3 linked regions of the Styela clava genome follow. The protein of the gene in region 1 interacts with the protein of each later gene in a pairwise test. Links are inferred from orthologs where the notes say so. Each region holds a gene or a part of one and is shown on either strand. Other genes may lie near its edges.

Region 1 (7,356 bases):
ATTAGGTCTTATTTTCGAGGAAACACGGTAGTTTTGCGATTATTAGCCATTTCTGTGTTATGCCATAAAACATACAAAAGAAAATAGAACTAACAAAGATATTTTGTTGTGGGTCGCCATAAGCTGCGGTAATAAATAGTGGGTCCCAACTCTAAAAAGTTTGGGAACCACTTATCTAGTCTTTAGTTATGGTACGGTATGTTCTGGACAAGATCCTTGTCGATTTTTTGTGTCATTTTAATCATAATCGGCTGTCCCATAGTTGGCTCAACAATTTTGAGCACGCCTGTCTTGTCAACGCATCTTGACATCTTGTGAGCCTACGTGAGCTGGAACTTTGTGAGGGGAGAAAGATAATAGTCGGAATCACTTACGTTTCATTCGTCACTGGGGCATTGTGGGGGATAAAAATGTCTTCAATCGGTGGCAATCATCTACATCTGTCTTATCCTTGACCACGAGCATGATAGATTTGCATCAGGTGACACACTGTTATAGGATTTACATATTTATCCCAGGTTCGTTCGGATTCAAAATGGCGAGGAAGAAGATTTATCTTTCCCGAGCGGCTCTTCAAAGAGCGTTAATGTTGTGCTGTGATTTGTACCGCGTTTTTGATTTGGCGAATCAATAAATGACAGAGTAAATTTCTTCTCGCCTTTTATCGGCATGCCTCTGCCGCAATGGTAACTGCTTTTTGTCATTCATCATTTCCAAATGAGGTAATCGAGAATCCCTATAAAATTGTTGCATTTGTCAGAGAGAGTAGAAATCTCGGATTTGTCAATACGTCATTTTAATATTTTTGACGTGTCCGTATTGAGTCAAAGGTCAAAATAACAGTATCAGTGTGATTTTCCCATGCAACTCAGAGCCCTGGGCTGTAAGTGTACCGGTAAATGTCGTGATACTTTTAGTTTTTAGGATGGATTATATAGCCTAGGTTTCTTTTTTCGCAACGTGCAATAGTTGCACAAATTGTGTACATGACATTGAGAGGGGACAAATTGTGTACATTATAGTGATAGGGATACAATGTTACAATGCTGAAAAACTGAGACGAGAATAGGTCTCTGATATTTTGAATGAATTGGTCACCTATTTTGAGCCCGAAGATTCTATTGAATTAATTTCTAGTGTCAGAATGTAGCGCCATTGTATACCGGTACCTGGCGAAATATTTAAGTTCAAGCCAGATGAGATAGTACGGTACCAATGTCACATCCTGCTGTCCTGTGAAACTACAGTACCGGTATAAAAACTGAAAAAAGAAGGTCGTACCGGTACCGGTACGGTACCGTCTGACCGTACTGTGATAGTCATGGGAAATGCTACAAATCCTTTTTTTTAATATTTGAGGCAAAAAGAATCATTTATTACAGTATTAGAAAACTAAAAAATAAAAATGAAGAATCATGTGTACAGTAAACAAAAGACCCAATAAAACAAAGACTATTTTTAAACAATGTTGATATCGTCCAATAAAATAAGCATATAATTTAAAATATCCGATTCAACTGACTGAATTAATGGAGGCTATCAAAAGCCAGAAAGACAGAAAATAACCGGATTCAAATGGAATAAGAATTGAATTTTATGAAAGACATAGGAAATTATTACAACTCTGAACTCTTCTAAATTTTGATTTAAAATAATTAGTAAAATTCTTGCCAACAGAAATAAAATAATTCTACCAGGTATGCATTATTAAGAACAAAAAAAATTGGTGAAAATGCTTTATTATCATTTGATCTTATAAAAGTATGTGATTCGGTTAATTTAGATTATTTATAAGATTTTAGAAAGATTTGGGATAAAAAATGAATTTATCATGTACACCGTCTATATAAAGATGGTGAAACTAGGATACTAATAAACGATTATACCGATTGAGAAATGTTAGATGTGATTTCTGCTAATACTAATACTGGAAACTTGAACTGGAATAAGTGAAAAAATAGTGGCTGATCCTCAAAAAATACTTATTTCGTCAGAAGGAAAGTGTTTGATAGTAAAACTTGAGTTATTACCGCAAATTTTGTTTTTATGCAAAATATTTTCAATGCCAAAATATATTTCTCAAAAAGTAAATGAAATTGTAAATGAATTTTTACAATATTTATTTATATTCCTGGTATGTGTGTATTTGAATATATAGAAAACACCATTACCACTACCATTAAATAATAGTATGGTACATAGATTTATTCCACACGAGTATTATAAAAGTGTAATTGATTTTTTAGGAAATAATAGTTTAAATGCGTATGATATCAAAATGGGCAAACAATATTACCATATAAATGACGAAGTTATATACAAATTATATAAAAACTTTCAACTATAAATTCCTTGGGATATTTTTTCTTTGTAAACTAAGCCATAGATTAAAAAAAAATAGGAAAAAATGAAATGTGTGTATTATACAATGAGGAACCTGAGTTTATTTCACATATATTCATGTCTTGTGAATTTTCCCAGAAAATGTATGATGATTTCGTTTATTTAATTATATAAAAATACATTTTGTTATAAATTATGATTTTTGCATATTATTTAATTTCGATGATTCTTTATTTTGTCATATACCGGTAGCTACTGTAGATTTGAAAGCAATTAATTTTTTGTTATCAACAGAGTGATATAAATTTGGATCATGAGATATTCGATTACGGTATATTTGAATATAAAACACCTGATATTGCTCACTTTAAAATGCAGATAAAAATGGCCATAATATATAGAAAAAATTCTAGAGTAAACAAACCCTTTGCAAAAGAATTACAAAGTTTATGCAAACGAATTATTGGAAAAAATTAAGAAACTTAATTAAAATCACTTATGGAGTGAACCATTTAAAAAAAAAGTTTAGTTTGTTTTGATTCATTAATAAAGCTAATACAACAATACATAAATGGTAACAAGAAGTTGCTGAATATATCAGAAAAGAAATCAAAATATACTTAAACACAGTTGACCAATTGTTTATTTGTAGTCTAGTAGTATACCTAACTTAAATTTTACCCCATACTGGTACTGACATCATAACAACAGGTGGTACTGAACCACTGTTTACCTTAGTGATATCACCATGTAACATAGGTGAGTTTGGAAAGTAAACAAGCACTTTACACTCCCTACAGCGCTTGATTTCAAAAAACTGATAGACTGAGCAAAGGTCATAATGAAAATGTTTTGAATGTCTTTCTCCTCTATCAGTCTATCGTTATACAGTTATATGCATTATCCACACTTTACATCACTATTTTTTTCTCACATAGTGGCCTCAAAGATTATATATATGTATCTTATATAGATTGTTGCAATAAATAGAATCAAATTTTGAGTTTGAAAATTTTTTTATTCAAACTTTACATCTGTAGTTATAACTTTGTAACTGTATAAAGTTATATCTTTATTACCAGTGGTTATTTCATACCCCAATTTGCAGGCCTATCCAGTACTGTATTATTGCCAGAATTATGAAGTATCAGTGTTGCAAAAGCTTTTCGAAGTACAGGGCGATCAAAGTGTGAGGGTAAACTCAAATTTACCAAGATTATAAAAATCTAAATTGTAAATTTTTTAACTGCTAAGTCGTTAGATCCCGCTGTTTTATTTCATAAAAATAAAGCTTCATTTGTCCAACACCAGCTTGTCCATCCATATTGACAAAGACTGTCAAGATTTTGAATTTCTTTCGATCCGCCTTCTTAATGCAGATCTGCACTTTCTACATGATTGACATAAAAGTACGTAGAAACAGAATGAAATTACTGTAATTATAGAATCTCCCGAAATGATACACGGGGTTAGGCGTAGGCTGGTTTTGAAAAGGCACTTCCATTTCCAAGTGCCATATTGCCCACCAAAACATACACTCGCAGACTTGTTTGACTGCTATAAAAACTTCTGGGGAATGGAAGCATTGGACCAATACCCCAAATCCAGTAAAAAAATAGTCAAAACCACTAACTATTTCATTTTCTTTTTTCATAAATAGATATCAATAAACAGCATTACAAAATGAATTATTTTAAATCATTTGTGAAAGGCAGTGATGAGCAACAGCCGAGTGGAGCAGAAACCGTATCAAGACTTTGTGATCGTGTTGCATCATCTACGCTCCTTGAAGATCGTCGAGATGCTGTTCGTGCATTAAAATCATTGTCGAGAAAGTTTAGATATGAAGTTGGCACACAGGGAATGGCTCATATTGCTACTGTTTTAGATCAAGACGCAAATGATGATGAAATGGTGGCATACGCACTCGATACATTATGCAATCTTATGTCTGATATGGAAGAAGATGATGACGTAGTTCCGCAACCTGAATTAACTCGTACATTTGTCGAAAAATTTACCGCAGAAGAGAATAATATAAATGTGGTATTAGATTTCGTTGAGCGATATGATTTTAGTGTTCGACTCTCCGCACTACGGCTTATGATTTCATTACTGAAAGGTCAACCTGGTAAAATACAAGAAACTGTGCTTATGAAACCCATGGGTATATCTCGACTAATCGATTTATTGACCGATTCAAGAGAGGTCATTCGAAATGATGCGTTATTGTTGCTCATAGAACTGACGCGTGGAAATTCCAACATTCAAAAAATTATTGCTTTTGAAAATGGCTTTGATATTATTTTGGATATAATAAGGGCAGAAGGGATGAGTGATGGTGGAGTTGTAGTAGAAGATTGCCTTTTGTTGTTACTACATTTACTAAAGAGAAACACATCAAACCAGCAATTTTTCAAAGAAGGTTCATTTGTGCAGCGTTTGACACCATTTTTTGAAATTGATTCAGAGTCTGTATGGTCTGCACAAAAAGTTGCGAATTTGCATCTCATGCTGAAACTTGTAAGAACGTTGGTTGCACCTTCAAATCCATCGAATGTGACATCTTCTTGCCAGCTTGTAATGCAGCAATGTGGATTACTAGAGAGGCTGTGTAATATGTTGATGGCCACTGGTGTCCCGGCAGATATTTTAACAGAAACTATCAATACTGTTTCGGAAGTTATTAGGGGATGTGAAGCTAACCAAGCTATGTTTGAATCTGTTCATGCACCTTGTGAGCCCCCTCGTCCAGCGATTGTTGTTTTGTTGATGTCAATGGTCAATGACAAACAGCCTTTTGAATTACGGTGTGCTGTTTTGTATTGCTTCCAATGCTTTTTACATGTTAACCCAGCAGGACAGACAAAAATTGTCAACACATTACTGCCTTCCTCACTTCAGTCACAACAAATTTCTGCCGGTCAGCTGCTTTGTGGAGGATTATTTGCTGCTTCTGATCCACTGTCTAATTGGTGTTCTGCTGTCGCGCTTTCACATGCATTAAATCGTAATACCGAAATGAAACAGCAACTGTTACGAGTGCAACTCGCGACAAGTGTAGGAAATCCACCTATATCTTTGCTGCAGCAAATTACAAATATAGTTAGGCAATCAACGAGCATCCAAAGTCGAATGGGTCTACTTATTCTATTGTGCAGTTGGCTTTCTGGTTGTCCAATTGCTGTTTCCCATTTATTACATGATTCAGATGCTGTTCCTTTCCTTTTGAGCCAAATAGCCGAGCACGGAAATGAATTGGACCACGTTTTGCATGGAGTATGTGCTCTTTTGCTAGGAATATGCATTGTTGATAATGATGGTTCAGTTCCTCAATGCACGAAAGAGTCACTCATTGAGTTAATTGTAGCAAGAGTAGGAATTGAAAGATTTTGTGACTCTCTCGGAGCAGTTACAAAACATGATCTGTATTCTAAAGCGTTTCAACGTTCTCAACCTGTTGCACCATCTTCAGATGATATGTTGTTCGATCATAATTTTACTAAATTGTTCAAAACTTTGGAAGATAATATTATAAAAATGGTTTCAAATTTAGAGGATGTCAAGAAAGAGGAAGAATCAAAAGCCGCCATCAAGGCCCATGATTCTATCATAAAGGAATATCAGGCTCTAATAAGAAGTCAAGATACAGATTTAAAAGAATTGAGATCTCGTGTTTCCAGTCTTGAATCTGAATTATCACAAACAAAGGAAAACTTGGATGAACGCACAGCACAAGTTCAGCAATTAAAAGATCAATATAACGTATTGAAAACCATGCATGATTCTTCATCTGGGGATGGTGTCAGCGATGCTGCCGAGTTATTGTCATCTTTGAATGTGCAAATTGAGGAACTGAAGCAAGAAAATGCAGAAAAAAATGCAAAATTACAAGAAAAAGAAAATTCTATTCAACAGTTACGTAATGATCTTGATGGTTTAGAACTTCGTTCTCTGCAACTCTCGTCCTCTGATGAAACTCAACAAAACAACAATCAACAAAGCAATACTAACATACCAGATGACAGTATACATGCCATCAATGTGCCTGATGATTCGAGACTACAAGAACATAGATTAGTACAACTCACAAATGAAGTTGATTCATTACGATCCCAACTTCAAGCGAAGGATGAAGAAATTTCTAGGTTGTTATCAGAAGGTGCACGCTCTCAAAACACAACTGATGAAGTGTATGATGTACTTGTTTCTGAGAAGACGTCAATGCAAACAAAGATTCATGATCTTGAATCCAGATTGAATGTTACCAGCCAAGAAAACCTCACACTTCAGGATAAAATCTCAACACTTGAGGAAAAACTCTCCAATTTACAGAGTAAAGAAGAATCTCTTGTACAACAAGTTACCGATGCAAACTCCAAGGCAGAAGAGGCAAAAGCACAAGCTGAAGATTTCAAAAAAGAGCAAGAAGATTTGCTTATTCTTTTATCAGACCAGGAGACAAAGCTAGAATCTTATAAAACTAAAATTAAGACTCTAGGTGGGGAAATATCAGATGAAGATGATGATGAAGAAGAAGAGGATGATGAGGAAGATGAAGATGTTATAGAATCCTTAAAGCAAAATTCTCAACCTGGAGACACTAATGGTGTTAACACCCACCCAGAATAATGTCAAAAATAATTCTTGAAAATATTTTTATTCCATATTAGTACAAATTCTATTTAGACTGCTGTACATGTCTCACTGCTTTAAATCTCAGAATGGAATGCTATGTAATATTATGTAAATTTCATACAGATTTGTATAAGAGAATTTGAAGGAATTCTAGATTTACTGCTTGTATGTCCATGCATACGATAGGCTTCCTGTACAGTTAGGACTCCTTTTCAGCTATTTTTATATTGAATATATCTTTAAGATACTTTTTTTTGCTGCTCCACTCATAGGAATGTTATGGATTAATTGCGCATTCCTCACGATAATAATCATTTATGGAGAAGGATTGTAGAATATGAAAGTAGAAACACTCTGATAGGTCTGATAATATTA
Region 2 (8,241 bases), on another chromosome or scaffold:
ATATAATGCAATGTCGGGCACTCAATATGATCCTAGACAAAAAGGCACACTCAAAAACATTTCAAACGAAGAAAACTATTAAATAATGTTGCAAAATTTGAATGGGTGAAGCATAAAATAATAACATCTATTTGCGTAATGAAATGCAGTGCTGCGCATTCATTATGCGTAAGAAAGGCACGCATAAAACATCGCACATAAAAAAAAAGATGTACACGCTAAATCATGTACGAACACAATTAACTCTATGGACAATTTTTCTGCTGTTTTGTTTCCAATATATATATAGGATTACAAACGAGGCCTCAAAGAAGTTTCTGCAACACGTAGCTCAGCGACGTGCAGCCGATTTGTCTGCTTCGTTTTAATTAAAGCTAGTGATGAAAATGTTTTTTTTTGCATAACGCAGTAACTGGTTGAAAATACGGGCAATAGTTTGATTGCTCGGTTAGGCTACTTAGCAATGGGTATTCGTTATCAAGAGATATCCGAAATTGAGACAGTGATTCTTTTTTAAATCTTGACCGTAAAATAGAATCACAATTTTTAATCAAGCGTTTTCTTTTTTCCATCGGGTTCATCATAATAATCCCTCTGCAGTTGATCGACGCCTCAAACTAAATGAATTTACTTTAGAATGACAAAGTCGTCGGTAACTTGGCACCGGGCTCAAAATCCTACTGTGTCTGCTCAAAATACTGCGAAAGATCTCTGCGGCCCATGCTTTTTTGCGTGTCTCGTGACCACCTACAGGGTCACATCAAGTTCATATCTTACTAGAATATCATACTGTTCTTGACTGTTTTTTTGGTTCAAACAAAGAAATATGCATGAAGTTTTATATGGATGGTCATACTATTCAGAAAAAATACGCAGAATAAAAAAGCACGCGTGCAGATTTTTTGGTTTCTGAATCTTGCGAGATTTGATGGAGCGCATTCGCGATGAATCGGAGCTGAGAAAGCGAAAAGTGTGACCACTCGGTGCCGCACTATGACGGCGGCAGAGAAATTGCGTAATAAACCAACGCAACATCGTCTTCGGCAAAGTGACCCTTTGGTCTTCGGTAAAGCGATTAAGACGGCATAAAAACAACAAAACAACGAAATTTCTTGCTGACCTGCAAAAAAGCATCCGCTGACTGGCGGTTGGGAACCACTAATCAAGCGGATATATATATATATATATATAGTTTGCATAATATCCGTTTGTACATGCATGTACACAATTTGAACCAACGCCAGTCACGATAAAGACATTTTCTCGAGTCTCGAGGACTAATAATAAGTTACTACAGTCCGAATCGAATCAGGTCAAACTCGCGTCTCACCAACACTGCATGAAATGATGAAGAATGACCATTGGTCAGGATAGAACTAGATGTCGGAATGATCACAAAATACGTTATTAAATATATATGACAAATCTAGAAATTCAACAGATGCTCTTCTACAGATATTTGCTCAAGTTCACTAACGCTAAAACCAATCTTTAAGTTAGCAGAAGAAGCAGCAATAACAATATCAAACTAAATTTGTGAATTCTTTATGCAACCTCTGCGTGATAAAAACGTATAATCATATTTCTATCAAATACAAGAAATTAAAGGATCAATATATGTAGGTCTGCAACATGCAGTAACAAATAATTATAACTTTCTGCAATAATTATAAATCTTTTGCAACTTCAAACCCCACCTGTAAGCGCGATACATCAGTCATTGGAAAACTTGGATATGACATGTCTGCCTGTTATGTAGCGCAGTGATTTTCAACCTTTTTTGTACCGCGGAACACTTTTTTTATTCTAAAATTGTGGCGGAATACCAAATCAGATTTTTGGAAATAAACTATATTATGCAATTAACTGACATCGATCATTTCGGAATAAAATAAATCAACGAAATTAATAATATAGCTTGTCAACTTCAGCTGGAGAAGACGTTACACATTCCGATTCAGAGCTAAAGTACGGTACAAATAAATCATTTTGCGAGTTTGCTTATGCTTACTATGATGAGCTAGGAACAGAAATGGTATTTTAATGTGATATCTGGGCCTGTTTCGATGAGTTTCAATATTTTATTCTGGCTAGAATTTAAGAGGGACAAACACGCAGATCTTTCTCAACGACTCCTATTTTCTGGTGTTTTTTATATTCTTATGGCGGCCAATAAAAGGGTGGGCAAATCGAACATTTTTTTTGGAATCAAATAATTCGAATATTCTTAACAAATACCGAATAGTCCAATGACGAATATTTTTTATACACAACAGGGTCCAGAACGTCGGAGGTCGATTTGGAAATTAACAGAAACATTGAAAATCGGCAACAAAGCGATTTTTACTGGTTAATTTTGTCGTAATCGCTGATATTTAGTCCCCCTGAACGTTTCCATATTCCCGCCCTTTGTTCTTTTGCTATTTTAATATTTTTACAACTATTTTAATTTCTGTGGGTCGGCGGAGATCGAAGTTTCATATTATTGGCATACTTATGAGTTCACATCGGCGACAGATTTTAATTACTTTAAGGAGTGATTTCAAAGCCAAATTAATTGTATTCTGATATTTATCTTTTGCGCCGACTCTGATCTAACTTATCGTCGTTTGCAAATTAAACGTCCCAGTTTTGGGCAAATAATATTATCATTATCGTCAACGGGATGCACACATTTATTAAGACGACAATTGACTTTCTTAGGCTTAGTGGTATTTTCGAAATAAATCAATTTGATACTGTGATTAGATAAATCTGCAAAGCTGTGATTGCGTGAATCATGAATGTTGATTTAAAATCTGAAATAAAGGCATTTCTACGTGGTCGTTAGGCAGTACTCTTGAACGATATCTTATATACGCGACCTGATAGCAAAAAAAATGTAAACAATTTTGTGCCCAAGTGCTTTTGTGCCTAGTAGAAGGGAAGACGATGATTATATTTATTCACCTCAAGTTTACGATTTATTTTTCAACAAAATCAATACTCCGACCATTATCATAGCTAATATCGTTACCGAGAAATTCACAATTGTATTTACGGAATTTGCAAATTCAACACTTCACTTGACGATTTTGATGATGCCACGCCTTAATTATTACTGCAAGAAAAGCTTAAAAATGCAACGAATGTAATCAATTCCGATGATGACTCCATCCATGGTCGAGTATAATGTTCACATTTTTGAAACATTATTTGGTCAAGGATGAAATGGATCACTAAAACTACACGCCGAGCTATTAGAAAGTCTATTGAAAAGAATTATGGCCTGTCATTTCTTATCTGGTTATAAGTTTTTATACCGGCTTTTCAAAACTCTGACTCGCCATTTTCAAATCTATGCTATTTATATGGTACTCCCGTGGTATTTGAACCAAGATGGCTGACACATTAACGTAGTATGTGTACCAAGTTAGGGTCAGGCCATAACTTTGGGTACAAATACTATAGGAGTCACCTGGCTAGTCCCTGAATTCGTAATAGAGCTAAAATAAGGGTTATGGCTTAACCTGGTGCACATACTACGTTCTGGTGTCCAACGTCTTGGTTCGCATATTACAGGAGTACCATTTCTCGAATTTTCTGACGACCTAAAATTGCCGTTTCACCATGTATCGAAAACGTCTTTGTAACTCTTAATTTCCGATAATGATTTTCTATTCGGGTCATGCATAAGGAGGCTAATAACATCTTCATAATCTGGTAACTTTATTTAAATATATTATTTGGGTTGACGTTTCTACATTTACAGACTAGTGTCGGCGCGCTTTTTGCAAAATATCAGCAAAAGCCGAGGGTGAATTCTCGCGTAATCCAAGCCATCGATTCACCGGCGCGAGTTCCGTGCCCAAGCAAAGTGGTACAGATTACGCGGTATCGTACATACGAATAGTAAAATGTCATTCGAAAATTTTAATATTCCATTCGCTATTCGAATATTTTGCCCAGCCCTAGACCGGCCATGCTCAAAAAGCTCATTTCGCAAAGATAGGTAGTGGAAAATGGTAGCGAGATTGAAGCGCTTGTGAACCGCGGCTTTGTGAAATTTATATAAATTCATCGGACGGTTAAATATCAGTTATGATGTCATAATACTACGAAAAAGCAATTTTCCGCGGAACACCTGGAGGTCTCTCGCGGAACACCAGTCATTTGGGTTGACAAAAGCGTTGAAAAAAGGCGCTGAAAATCACTGATGTAGTGTGTAATTTATACAAGTTGTAAGCGCCATGCCGTTATATTGAAATTAACAGGGCTTCAGAAGTCGTATATTTACGATATTTGCAGTAGGCGTGCGCAAGATGGCGTGATGCACCATCGTCTCACATTATGCTTTGGCGCTGCTCAGGCGCACATTTATCAGTTTTCGATCTTTCAGCTTAAGAATCTTGAATTCAAGTATGAGTTATAAATATATATAAACAAAAAATTAAAACTGATCATGTAATGTCCGGATTAGGTGGCAACTCTGACTCTCCTACAATCGACTTGTTTATTTAGCTATTTTTCGATAACAATTGCTTATCAGCAATCAGTCAATGATGTTGAGATAATTTTAAACTTTATCGGACACATATTATTTCAAGATATATTTTAAGCGACACGTATTGACTAGTTTCCGTACTTTTGAATGACATTTGTTAGTTTTTAGTTATGCTTTTAATTTTAGACATCGATACAAATCGAATAATTCAGCATCAAGGTTAGAGAGAGAGAAAAAGATTTATTTTTTCGTCAATCATAATAAAATAACAGTCATCGTGATAATAAAAATAATAACAAGTAATAAAAAAATTAATCGTGTTGTCGTTGACTGGATGACTCTTTGAGTCTTTCGCGACCACTCGTCTATTGCAACAAGCCACGATCCGTATTTGTAATTTGTTACACGCCTTTTATTTATTTCATTTTGTACACTAGTTTTGCATGACGAAAATAAAAATCTGAATCTGAATTCAGCAGCCATTTTGCTTCAGAAGTGTTGTAGTTGCGCTAAAGAAAGAAAAACGACCCAGAAAAGTTGGGATATACCATCCGAAAAGTAGCTGTCAGTACCTTAAAGACAGTGTTAAAAACAAGTTAGTGATTTCGATCATGCTAAATTCCATACCTGCATAGAAAATTTCATACTGCGCAAAATTGGAGACGGACATCTAGACTCAAAACAGCAGAGCTGCAGCTTCAGCTGTTTTTCAGTTCATGAGCGACGCGCGCTGAATCACTAATGCTGAATCTGCTATCGTTTAGTTAGGTTGCTGGTTGTGCCGGTAAACGGTACCGTAATAGGATGTGGAATCAGCAGGCACCTTGGCCGCTTCTTCAGCAGCAATCAAAACAAAATCCTGGTAAGTTTTGACTATTATATTATATCACTGCATTCACTGGTAATGTTATACCAAATACTGAAATACCGGTACTAAAATTGCTATTTTTGCTAAGATGAATAACTGAAATAAAATGTTAACGCATGTGTTAAGACAGATACCGGTACCGTACTGGTACCAGATGTTTAGAAGTTTGGTCGAACAACAAACAGTGTTCATGTGTTATGATCGATCATGCGAACTGTCAGACTATGAAGCCTCTTTCTGTCTTTGCAATGTTGTAGTATAGAAAAAATCACCAACACTGTAACAGGATAAAGAAATCTATAATGATAATAAACTTATGTTCAGTACCGATATGTCTATAACCATATAATTTTACACTCATGACTATATTCAGATATTGGATGACAGAGTTAGTTATTCGGTCAGTCATTTTTGTCTGTGAAATGGCATAGGCTATATTTTTTGTTATATTTATTCATTTTTCCTTGTATACGGTATATTACGGAAATAAGTCTAATTTCACTTTTCTGAATGTTATATTTTTGTAGGTGAAGTTGATTGGGCAGCTCTTGCTCAAGCTTGGATTCATCAGAAAGGAACAGAAGATGAACAGAATTTGCCGCAACAGGTATATAGAATCAGTTTTCGCAATTATTTATTGTTACTCATTCAAAAAGTTAAGTGGTAGGCCTGATCACATTTGAAAATGTGTAATGTCTGAATTTCGCATTTCACAATGGCTGGGACATCCTCAATCTTCAAACACGTCTATTCAAACGATAAATACATACAAAAACCACTAAGCAGAGCTGCATAATAAGCTAAAAAGAAGTAAAATCTTGAAAATCATGTCATTGGATTTTTCAGAAAAATTTTTACGCCTTCAAGAGCAAAATTTAATGGGCTGGTATTTCTTTGTTTTGTGTGATAACGGGAGCGGAGCATATTGCGATTGATTTATAATATCATGGCTAACATCGCACTATATTTTGAATGTGCCATCATACCCAGACACCCTTGTTTCAGAAACAAATTGTGTGTTTGTTTAATATTTCCAAATATTGGGGACATTTTTAAAATCAGGGAACTCTATCATATTGAATTCGTAATGTTATTCACATTATTCTTGTTTTACTGAACTGTACCTATCTAACATAATCTATCATCAAATACACAGAATGTGGCAAAACCCCCTGAACCATCACAAAATATACCTCCTGAGCAAGTACCAGTTGCTACACAACAGCAGATGTTATGGCAACAACAAGGGCATTGGCAACAAAATCAAGGCTGGGGACACGGACCTCAACAGGGATGGAATCAACAAGATCATTCTCAGCAGTGGAATCAAATGAACCAACATCCTCAGCAGTGGCAAGGTGACTTAACTTTTCAGGTTTTTCATTGAGAACCATAGATTTGAGGAAAACTACCAAACCCCAATCTTCTGATACAGTTATAAAGCGACATCAGCTTCGATTCCCGCCCCTATGCTGACAAAAATGCAAATTTCGATCACCGATTATAGGATTTTAGAAAATTTTGGGGGCTCCCGAAGTATGCGAACCAAGATGGCGGACATCGGAATGTTATATGTGTACTAGGTTAGGGTTAGGCCATAATTTTAGGTATAAATACTACGGGAGGCTCTTGGCTAGTCTTCGAACTGATAATAGGACTAAAATAAGGTAAATTGGAAAAAAATTATGGCCTAACCCTAACCTGTTACCCATGTTACGTTCCGATGTCCGCCATATTGGTTCGCATACTTCGGGAGCACCAAATTTTGATTCTAAATTACCAAGAAATGCGAATCTTGATAACAAAAACTTTGGTGTATGCAACCTTTTTTTAATTGTTTGTAGAGAACGCTTGGTCAATTTTATATTTTCTGAATTTAGGAAACTTCAACCAGCAGCAATGGTTTGGAAATGGTCATCCACCACAACATAATGAGGAACCTAAACCACCACTTCCTCCACCAGAAGATGAACCCACGAATGGTTGGTAATTTATATCTATAAGATCTATTTCTATCTACTAATATTGATTGATCATTTCTGCATATCCTTAAAACGAGTTACATATTTTCGATAGCAGTATATTACAAAGTTTTCAAGAGGAAATTTCTCTTATCATCTGTATTATCTATTAGTGAATATGTTCAAATTGGAATAGTTCCCAAATTACCATTATTTTTTAAAAATATTTATTTTGAGTATTGTACAGTGTTACTTCGTTCTGCATTAAAATAATGATATATGTTTGAATAAGGCCAAAATTTCCTACTATAAACCTCGCTGATATTCATTCTCTGTCCCAACTCAGGTAACAACGTAGCAGATATAATACCTCCGCCTCCATTGCCTGTTGATGGTCTTGGAAATATGGATCAAAATTTGAGAACGGATAATCACAAGGAAATAATAGATTACAGTCATCAACATCCCAGTGGAGAATTCAAGTAAGATAAAAAGAATGCTATGTAAATTTTTTTTGTTTTTTTCTTGTTATTAACTTCATGTTTTCTAGTTTTAGAAAAGATGAAAGATTTACTGAAGATTATCATCCAAAAAATAGTTTTGTTGTTGAAGATCAGGTGAATAATGTAATTTTGTTTATTGATTTGTGTTTTTGATGTTGAATATTTCAGATAGAAACTTTTGTTAGTGAGTTATTATTTAGATATGGTCTTACCATAAAATGGCAACGGTTTAGGGAGGTAGCTTTTACAAAGCCTTTTTTGGAGTGAAATCCATATAAAAATTCACTTCTTCAAATTTGGGAAGATTTGGAATTTTAAAATGAATTGTAAACTGTTGTACTATTTGTAAATATAATATATATATATATATAAAGGGTATCCGAAAAAATTTCGCCTGATTTTATAGTATTAACAATTATTTCTTTG
Region 3 (8,099 bases), on another chromosome or scaffold:
TACTTGAAGCCACTTACTGCAGATATGCAAATATCTGAAGCAAAATCAGTGCGGGACCAAATGAGTAAGTTTAGGTTACGTTTGAATCTGTTTATCTGTCATTTCTTTGGATCTCAATGGATGTATTTTTTCAGGCGTAACCGTTAAACTTCCTACCGATCATTCGTGAAGTCGGGATGTTGGGACAGGGTGGGCAAAAAAATAAGCTTTCCACTCCCATCTTGTGTGGTTGTTGAGATAAGAAAACATTTTGAATCCCCCTCATACACAGGATTCCAACCACCCTCACTTTAGAAAAAAGTTTCTCAGCAAAATGCATGAAAAGGGCCAACTCAATATTTATAACAAGAAGTATTGAAACAATGGAGATTTTAGATAAAAAATGTATTGGCACGAATGAATTACCAGAAAATTAGAACTAAATTGATAAAAAATAGACCAAGAAGGGCGAAGGGATAAATTGCATTTAATGAACTATGGGCTGTGGAGCAGAGGGTACAAATTTCAAACTTCAATGGCCTGATTTGCAGAGATTAGTCTCTCTCAATAAAACAAAAGCTTGCATAAACCAAATTTGATTTCCTGAAAGGTTAGAGCCGAAATTGCTTGCATAATTTTTTCCGACTCCACAGCCCTAGTTGTCAATACTTGACTATTAAAACAGTTTTACAGCTGCTGTATTGCAAGCTCCTTATCTGGTCTTTCACACCTGGAAGACAAGGTCGGTAATGGTGACAGATCATTCTGGCTTGTGGTTGAACTGTCATCAACCTCTGAAATCACTTTCTGAAGCAGGACTTGCACATATTCTGTGAAAAAGATGGCGGATCACTTATACTTCTGTTTTTCAGGTTGAACCAATTAAATTTTACGGACTCACCAAAACACGACTCAGAACGTAATCCTCGAATACCGATTATATCCACACTGGCAAAAAATAGCTTTGGTTACCACCATGGATCCAACCACCTTTTCCACATCAACGGTACAAATTCCAAAGCACTTTTCACAACTAGCAAAGATTTGCAAAAGTTTATGTAGACTAACGATGTATTCCTCTTTTATAATTTTGTATGACTCTCCTTCTCTATAAATTAATTATAAGTTAAATGAAAATGTCTATAAAAATATGCCTTCAAGGATCGATACTTACCCACTGCGTGACTCATCTGAAACACTATTCAAGTCATAGCTACTGTCTGTACTTGAGTCGTCATTCATATCAGAAGTGTCAGAGTCAACAACCATCTTATGCTCCTGTGTTTTGAACAGTTGTAGCGGAGGTGCAACTATCAGATCACATTGTAAGCAGTGGTGAGCTGTAGCCGGAAGGCACTGGAACGGCGTTCCGGTTGTTGGACGTCTTATTGCATTTGCGTTCCTGTTGTTGAAATAAAATTATGGTATAAAAAGTCTAGTTTTTCTGGTAAACTTAGGTATTAATTTATGTTTTGTTACATCATACTTCGTAAATATATTTACATCACACCACGCAAATGATTAGTACAGAAGTAACATGTAATATTGTCGTTTCCCGACCTTTGACCCCATACAAATTCATTCTATAACTTTCTATTAATAACGTTTGTATTGAATTGCTATGAATATTCTTGTAATTTTACACAGAGATATATTTAGACAATTTCTTCATATTTCATTGCAGTTCTTCTTCGCCTCTATCTTAAAACAGACAAATCCTTCTGTAACGTCCGCGTCGTGTTGTAAATATTACATTTTTGCGAATTAGGTGCGTTCCGGTTGTTACGATTTTTCCAGCTCATCACTGATTGTAAGCCGACAGATCTTGTACTGGTATAAGATTGGCATGCTGCAACAGATATTGAATAATAAGAAAGAAGCAGCTCAACAATAATATAAAACCTAAAGCTGAATATACGTCTAGTTCTTAACCTTTACTGTGATTTCCACGTCTCTGTAGTGCCTGGGTGTGCTTAGACTGCTGTGTTATTTTCTGAAATGGCAAAAGTTTAACAATTTATACTCTAAAGTCTAAACTGTTTGACAACATAAACTGCAATTAATGCTTCTGACTAACCATAAGTTTATACTCTGTAACTGTTTTATTGCACGAAGTCTTTTCTGGCTCATGAGTTTGATCAATTGGTGTTTGCTAAAAAAAAATTCAGAGGAGGAATAACAATAGCCTGATCATATATTTGTTTTCTAACCTTTAGTCAATTCTCTGAAAATATTACTGCACCTGTGATAACAAAGCTTCATCATGTGTAAAGCCACTGGTGATATAAAAAAACTAACTGATAAATATGCATATATAAAAACAAGACCTGTCATTGAATAATTTCTTTCTACAAACCACCGCTCCCTCCTTTTTGTGCACCACATATCTTGTTTTTTTTTTCCAAATAAGATTCACTGCCAACTTCGGTTAAAACTCTCTGTCTGACCTCATCATAATAAGATGTCATTATCTCAACATAACTTTCTGGACTGAATGGCTTAGTGGTCTTTTGTGTGTTCGACAAGAGAAATCAGATCGGGCTAGTTTGACAAACAAACTCCCACGTCTTCGAAACGTCTCATTGAACATAACAATACACTCAACTTGATTGCATTTATTACAAGTCTTTGTTTCAAGTACACATCAGAAGAGTCGTCAATATAACTGAAGTTGTATGGTGGTTTGATCTTGGCTGTTTCTAGTATTACGGATTCTAAATTTGCCATGATTGCATTGGCGTATTTAAGTGTCATTTTGGTTCACATTGCTGTTCTGTTGATTTGGAGGCAATGTTTGTCATTATATACAAAATTGTTGTTGTTCAGAACCATATTAACTGCGTTTGTCATTGCTGTGCTCCATAGGATACTTTTCTACTGATGAAGATATTGAATACTATTCATGTAATAATCCGGCCCGCCGAGGACTTCATTTTCCCACATCTGACCCGCCGACTAAAGAAGTTGCCCACCCCTGGACTAGTCTATCGCAGCATTTGCGAGACTCATTTTTGATTACAGCAACTAAATTAATGCTCATTTGAAGACATAATGACAATCAAGATATTGAATTCGCAACTATTTTTTCGAAACACAACTGAAAACTGACAAATAACCCGCAAAACTACAAATACGAGGCAGTGTTTACTATACAACCATACTTGAGGGATGGAAGTGTCTGAGCGGCTGCAGAAATTGCAATTGTTACATCATTGTTGACTTTTTGTTGATTGGTTATGGTTATGGAAATAAACAAGGAAATTGATGCCCGGGAAAAGAGGCATAAAGGCCGTACAGCGAATACATACAGTATGGAAGATAAAGCGTTGTCGGCATATTTTAGCCAACTCAAAAGTTTAATTGTTGCAATAATTCAAAACTGCTTGCGTACCACAGGTTGAGAACCACTGTATGGACCTTTCCCCGACCTCATGTACCGTGTCGTCACCATAGTTACAATCAAACAACGCTGATTCAAGACAACGGTCTTGTTGTCTTAAACTTGAGTCGCAGTCCTGACCGCGTTAAATATACCTTAAAAACACCTTGAAACAAAATAAAAATATTTCTTAGCATATGAATGATTGTAAACATTTCTTATTTCTCACAAAACAAAAAAAACATGGCGGGTATAGAGTAAACCGAAGTGATTGAGGTAAACAAGCGTAACAAGTGCTCCCAAACACAAACTATAAATATGATTATAGATTTAACGAGTTTTTTATAATGCATTTTGGAATTCAAGTTATACCTATTTATACTTTTATTCTTCACGTTTAGTTAGCATAATTAACAGGCAAATTTCAAGTCATATTCGCGATGAGCATTCAAATATTTCGGAGGAACACGACATTTTTGTTGTAAACAAAGACCTGATTACAAACCAAACGCAGATCGAGGCTTAATTTCCAATTGGTGTTCAGTTTCATATTGGGTTTATTGAGAGTTAAAAGTCTTTGATATCATATCCAGTTGCCATTACAAATTAATGTTTTCGGCACTAGAGCTTTTGAAGTGGCATTACATCACATGGAACAGGCTGTTTTTATCAATATATCAAGTGGCATTTCATGTGTTATTTTGAGTGCTTACGCCGATCCACGTAATGTTTTCTGGTATGTTTTATTTATTAGGAAGGGAAATGCAGGATTAGGAGTTGACTTGGTTTTATATTTTTTTGTGTATTGATGTATGAGAGTCCCACAGTTTTTTTTTTATTACTGAAACGCAGTGATGAGTATGTAATGAAGGAATGGAATGAAAGAGGAATGTTAGGATACCCAATATACAAGTATTACTATTTGCATGAACCATATTAAAGTACCCAATTTACACATTGTATGTCAGTATGCAAGATCGTCGAAGGGTATCAAGGCTCATGACCATGTGGACTGTCATAATTGGTTGCAACAACCACTTATATTGTTTAAAATATGAAAGTGCAACTTTCATAAAGCTAAGAGATTGAAATTAAATAAAGTAGTTTTTATGCATAGTGAAGCAGCGGTAAAGAGTTCAAATATTATCGAGAAGAGGGGTGTAACGACAAAGGTTGAGAACCCACTGCTTCAAGCGAGCTTGAATAGAAAATTAAATCTGCTCATTTCTTTTGATGTTTCACGTAACATGGTCTTCACTACAATACAATAAAGATGAGTTAAATCTTAAAGTTTCTTTTTTTCCATTCATACCAGACATTGGAAACGTATGTTTTGAATAAAAAAAATTAAGTAAACAATATTCAACAAAATACAAAGTCAACTGGATAGTATATAAATAAATGTAAACAACATACAAACAAAAATACATACTGAAAGAACATAAAACATCGGAGTTTCAGGGAGACTACATGGAGACTCGTTAGAATGGACCAGATAGAGCAATTGCTAACTTGCCCGGTTTGTCTTGACCGTTTTAAACAACCGAAGATACTACCATGTCAGCATACATTTTGTTTGAGACCATGTTTGCAAAATTTAGTGACGGATCGCAGGTGAGTTCTCTATTACTCAGTGAAGGCGGCAATATCACCTCTCTACAGTATCTAACAGAATGAGATTATTTGGACCAGTCTTGCCTCAATGACTTGCAGTGGCAGAGTCAGAATGGCGGGCTCGAATGATTGGGCGATTGAGTTATCATTTTAATCGTTAAAACCTCCCTTCCATCCCATTTCTGTGTTCTCCATGTGGGTTGCTGGTTTGAATCGATCAGGAATAAGTATGCATGAGAGTATTGCTAGATTCCTCTTTGATTTAGGTGGTGATTTGCCAATTGGTAAGCCGTCTTATCGTTTTTTCTCTCCCCCTTGATAAATTTGAAAATAATATTATTTTTGTCTGAAAGTATTTTTATACAAAAGCGGGAGCAGAAGGGGAAAGGGGTCATAGAACATGAAAGTTTGAGGACTTCTGGCTTAGTACAATACACCAAATGAGGTTTCAAAGTTGACTATTTTTTGCAGCATTCGATGTCCAGAATGTCGTTCTACACATCTTCTGCCTCGTAATGGTATCAATGGACTTCCAAATAATTTAACCATTGTTAAGTTTCTTGATCTTCCTACCCAGAGATCTTCCCCTAAGGAAATCGTTTGCCAGGTAAGAGTGGGAAATGTCTTGTTCAGGGTAAATTTGTGAAAAAGTAAATCCTGAGTTCCTGCGGAAAATTTTTTTTGTTCAGCTGATTATGGAGTGGAAATAAACTAATTATACTTTAGACTCTAGAGTTGTTTGAAAGTCGATTTTAAACTTTTACTCTCCGGTAACTCACTATAAACATATATTAAGTGAATGCCCATGACTATAATCTAAGACGCACCAACAGAACTGTGTAATCGGCTCCAAAGACACACATAGACGCTTCACCTTTACAGTTGGTTGGTCATGATCTGTTAACTGATGACATCACTGGTCATATTCATTCAACTGGCCAAACACTAGTTGCCAGAAATACAATAAATATCAATAATATCCACTGCCCTAGTAATCGGCATGGCTTTACATCAAGATCTTCAAATTCTTCAATTTTGTTTTAGGAATGTGGCAAGAAGAGCTGTGAACCAGAGAAGTGCAATCATTGTGAAAAACTTCTTTGCGAAAATTGTTTGACGAAACATTCACATATCCTGAAGCAAGATTTAGACAGAGCAGTTTCACAGGTAAATTGTGGGTACGATGACGCAGTCGTTTTCAACCTTTCCGTCAGAGCGGAACCCCAATTGAAAATTTCATAAGCTTAAGGAAGTCCTGTATAATAGTTTATTTTTCTTATGCAGAAAATTTCATATTTAAGCGATTCTAATACTGGCAAAACAATTTGATCTTCAAAATGCTATTCAATCTTCAATTGATATGCCTAGCGTTATGCACAAATCGAATATTGGATCTCCACTCTGGGAGACCCTTATTCTCAGCCATTCTGTGTGTCTAGCTGTAGGGTCTAAACTGCTCGGTCGACCCGGTTGAAATTTCTCAAACGGTTCATGCTGTGAGTAATTCGGTTTCACCGAAAGTCCGGATTGGTGTTTCGTTCCCATTGAATCAGGGAAAAAATGCGCCGATCGTTGAGAAATAACTGTTTTTCACAATTTGTCCCCATTATCTCATAACCAGGCTCGGAAATTAAGATTTCAAGATCAAGGACACATGCAGTTACTTAAAATGAACTGGCAATTTCGGTATCCCAGTCACTGCTGTTGTAATATGTTTTGCGTGGATGGTAACGTGTTACTGAATTTCGGGCCACCTTGTGTATCAGCGGAGATCCTGTACGCCTACCGGCTTGTTTTATAAGGAGTGCATAAATATATGTTGTAAAATTACCTAATGAATATTGCATTGCACCAAGTAACAAAACTCCTCCCTGGAGAGGAATTCCTCGTCAGTTGGAAATCTGTGTCTTCGGTGGGGTGGGATTAATTTTTCTAAAGATGTTTATATGTTTCATTCCTGAACCAGTTTTCGTATCCACTGAAATATAAGGAGCTATTATGGTTCAAAAAGACCGTAATTTTCTTCCAGTTTGTCACTCAGAATAGTCACCTGAATAAACGAAATTCTCTCTACAGCCTTTTTTTCAAAAATGTAGAATTGTTGAATTTTATATACTGGTATATATTTTTTCTGTAGGTCAAAAGACTTCTCCCTAAGGTATCAGAACTCATCTCTGACCTTGAAGAAAGGCAAAAAAAGTCAAAGGAAAATGGGGAGGCAGTGAAACTAGAAATTGCGCAGGTAGTCACTTAGTTATTTAGAGTAGGTTTAAGCTGATTTTTGAATTTTTACAAAATCAGACTTCCAAGCGCAACTAATGAACTTTTGAACCACTACTGCACAGCATCTTTCATTTATGCTCCTTTCACAAGAATCTGCCAGGATAAAAAAAAAGATAATACAGGAGATACATTGCCTTGATCACCGCTTGAACATTTTCAATTTTATATTACCGTATTTTTCGGCTAGTAAGCCAAAGCAAATTTTTGCTCTGAAATGGGTATTTTTCCATATTTCTGTCCGATAAGCCGAGGCAGAAAAATCTTAGTTAAGCACCAATGCATGCTTTATTTTTATGATTCTATTTTACTCATTTTTTTGTTTCTCAGTTACGCACCAATGCGCCTCTCTCTTTAATTTGGTTGCAGTACACGTGCTAAAACTCCATGTTTCCATGATTCACACATGCTGGTATCGCTAATTTCTTTAGCTCATGATGCGGACACAAATGTGGCAACATTAAATATAATGATCACAGCGGGTATATTCCAAATTGGCGGTGTGAATCACGAAAACTAACGGAGAGCGTACATCATTGTGCCCCTTTTCCGGTGTTTTTTAGTCCAAAGCTAACAACAAAAAAAGAAGAAAGTATGGGGGGGGGGGGGGGACTTGGGAATCACTGTCTCTGTTTTTGCTGTATTTTTTCTAACAATGAGATTTTATCATTCAGTCTGTTGAACGTTGCATTTCTGAACTCCAGTCAAGAAAACAGCTATTGATGGAAGAAGTTGAGGCTTTTGTCGCCGTAGAAACAAGGTACCGGTAAATATTATTTCAGTATTATCATGGATTTCCATGGATCGATTTTGAAAATGTCGCTGGGGTTATACTGTTGTTGTTATC

What was found.
Region 2: the proteins of general vesicular transport factor p115-like (region 1) and uncharacterized protein LOC120337842 interact in a two-hybrid assay, tested with the Caenorhabditis elegans proteins (2 studies listed by BioGRID). The link is inferred for Styela clava from reciprocal best matches to the Caenorhabditis elegans genes uso-1 and rsy-1.
Region 3: the proteins of general vesicular transport factor p115-like (region 1) and uncharacterized protein LOC120346764 interact in a two-hybrid assay, tested with the Caenorhabditis elegans proteins (2 studies listed by BioGRID). The link is inferred for Styela clava from reciprocal best matches to the Caenorhabditis elegans genes uso-1 and nhl-1.

What each region holds. Positions count from the first base shown.
Region 1 is NC_135253.1:16,171,552-16,178,907, reverse strand, and holds the start of general vesicular transport factor p115-like, read left to right. Parts: upstream 1-3,983; 5' UTR 3,984-4,026; coding exon 4,027-6,975; 3' UTR 6,976-7,356.
Region 2 is NC_135259.1:16,063,122-16,071,362, forward strand, and holds the start of uncharacterized protein LOC120337842, read left to right. Parts: upstream 1-5,158; 5' UTR 5,159-5,287; coding exon 5,288-5,345; intron 5,346-5,878; coding exon 5,879-5,958; intron 5,959-6,507; coding exon 6,508-6,709; intron 6,710-7,231; coding exon 7,232-7,333; intron 7,334-7,658; coding exon 7,659-7,794; intron 7,795-7,862; coding exon 7,863-7,938; intron 7,939-8,241.
Region 3 is NC_135257.1:20,852,902-20,861,000, reverse strand, and holds the start of uncharacterized protein LOC120346764, read left to right. Parts: upstream 1-4,655; 5' UTR 4,656-4,844; coding exon 4,845-4,972; intron 4,973-5,443; coding exon 5,444-5,579; intron 5,580-6,016; coding exon 6,017-6,139; intron 6,140-7,109; coding exon 7,110-7,214; intron 7,215-7,926; coding exon 7,927-8,012; intron 8,013-8,099.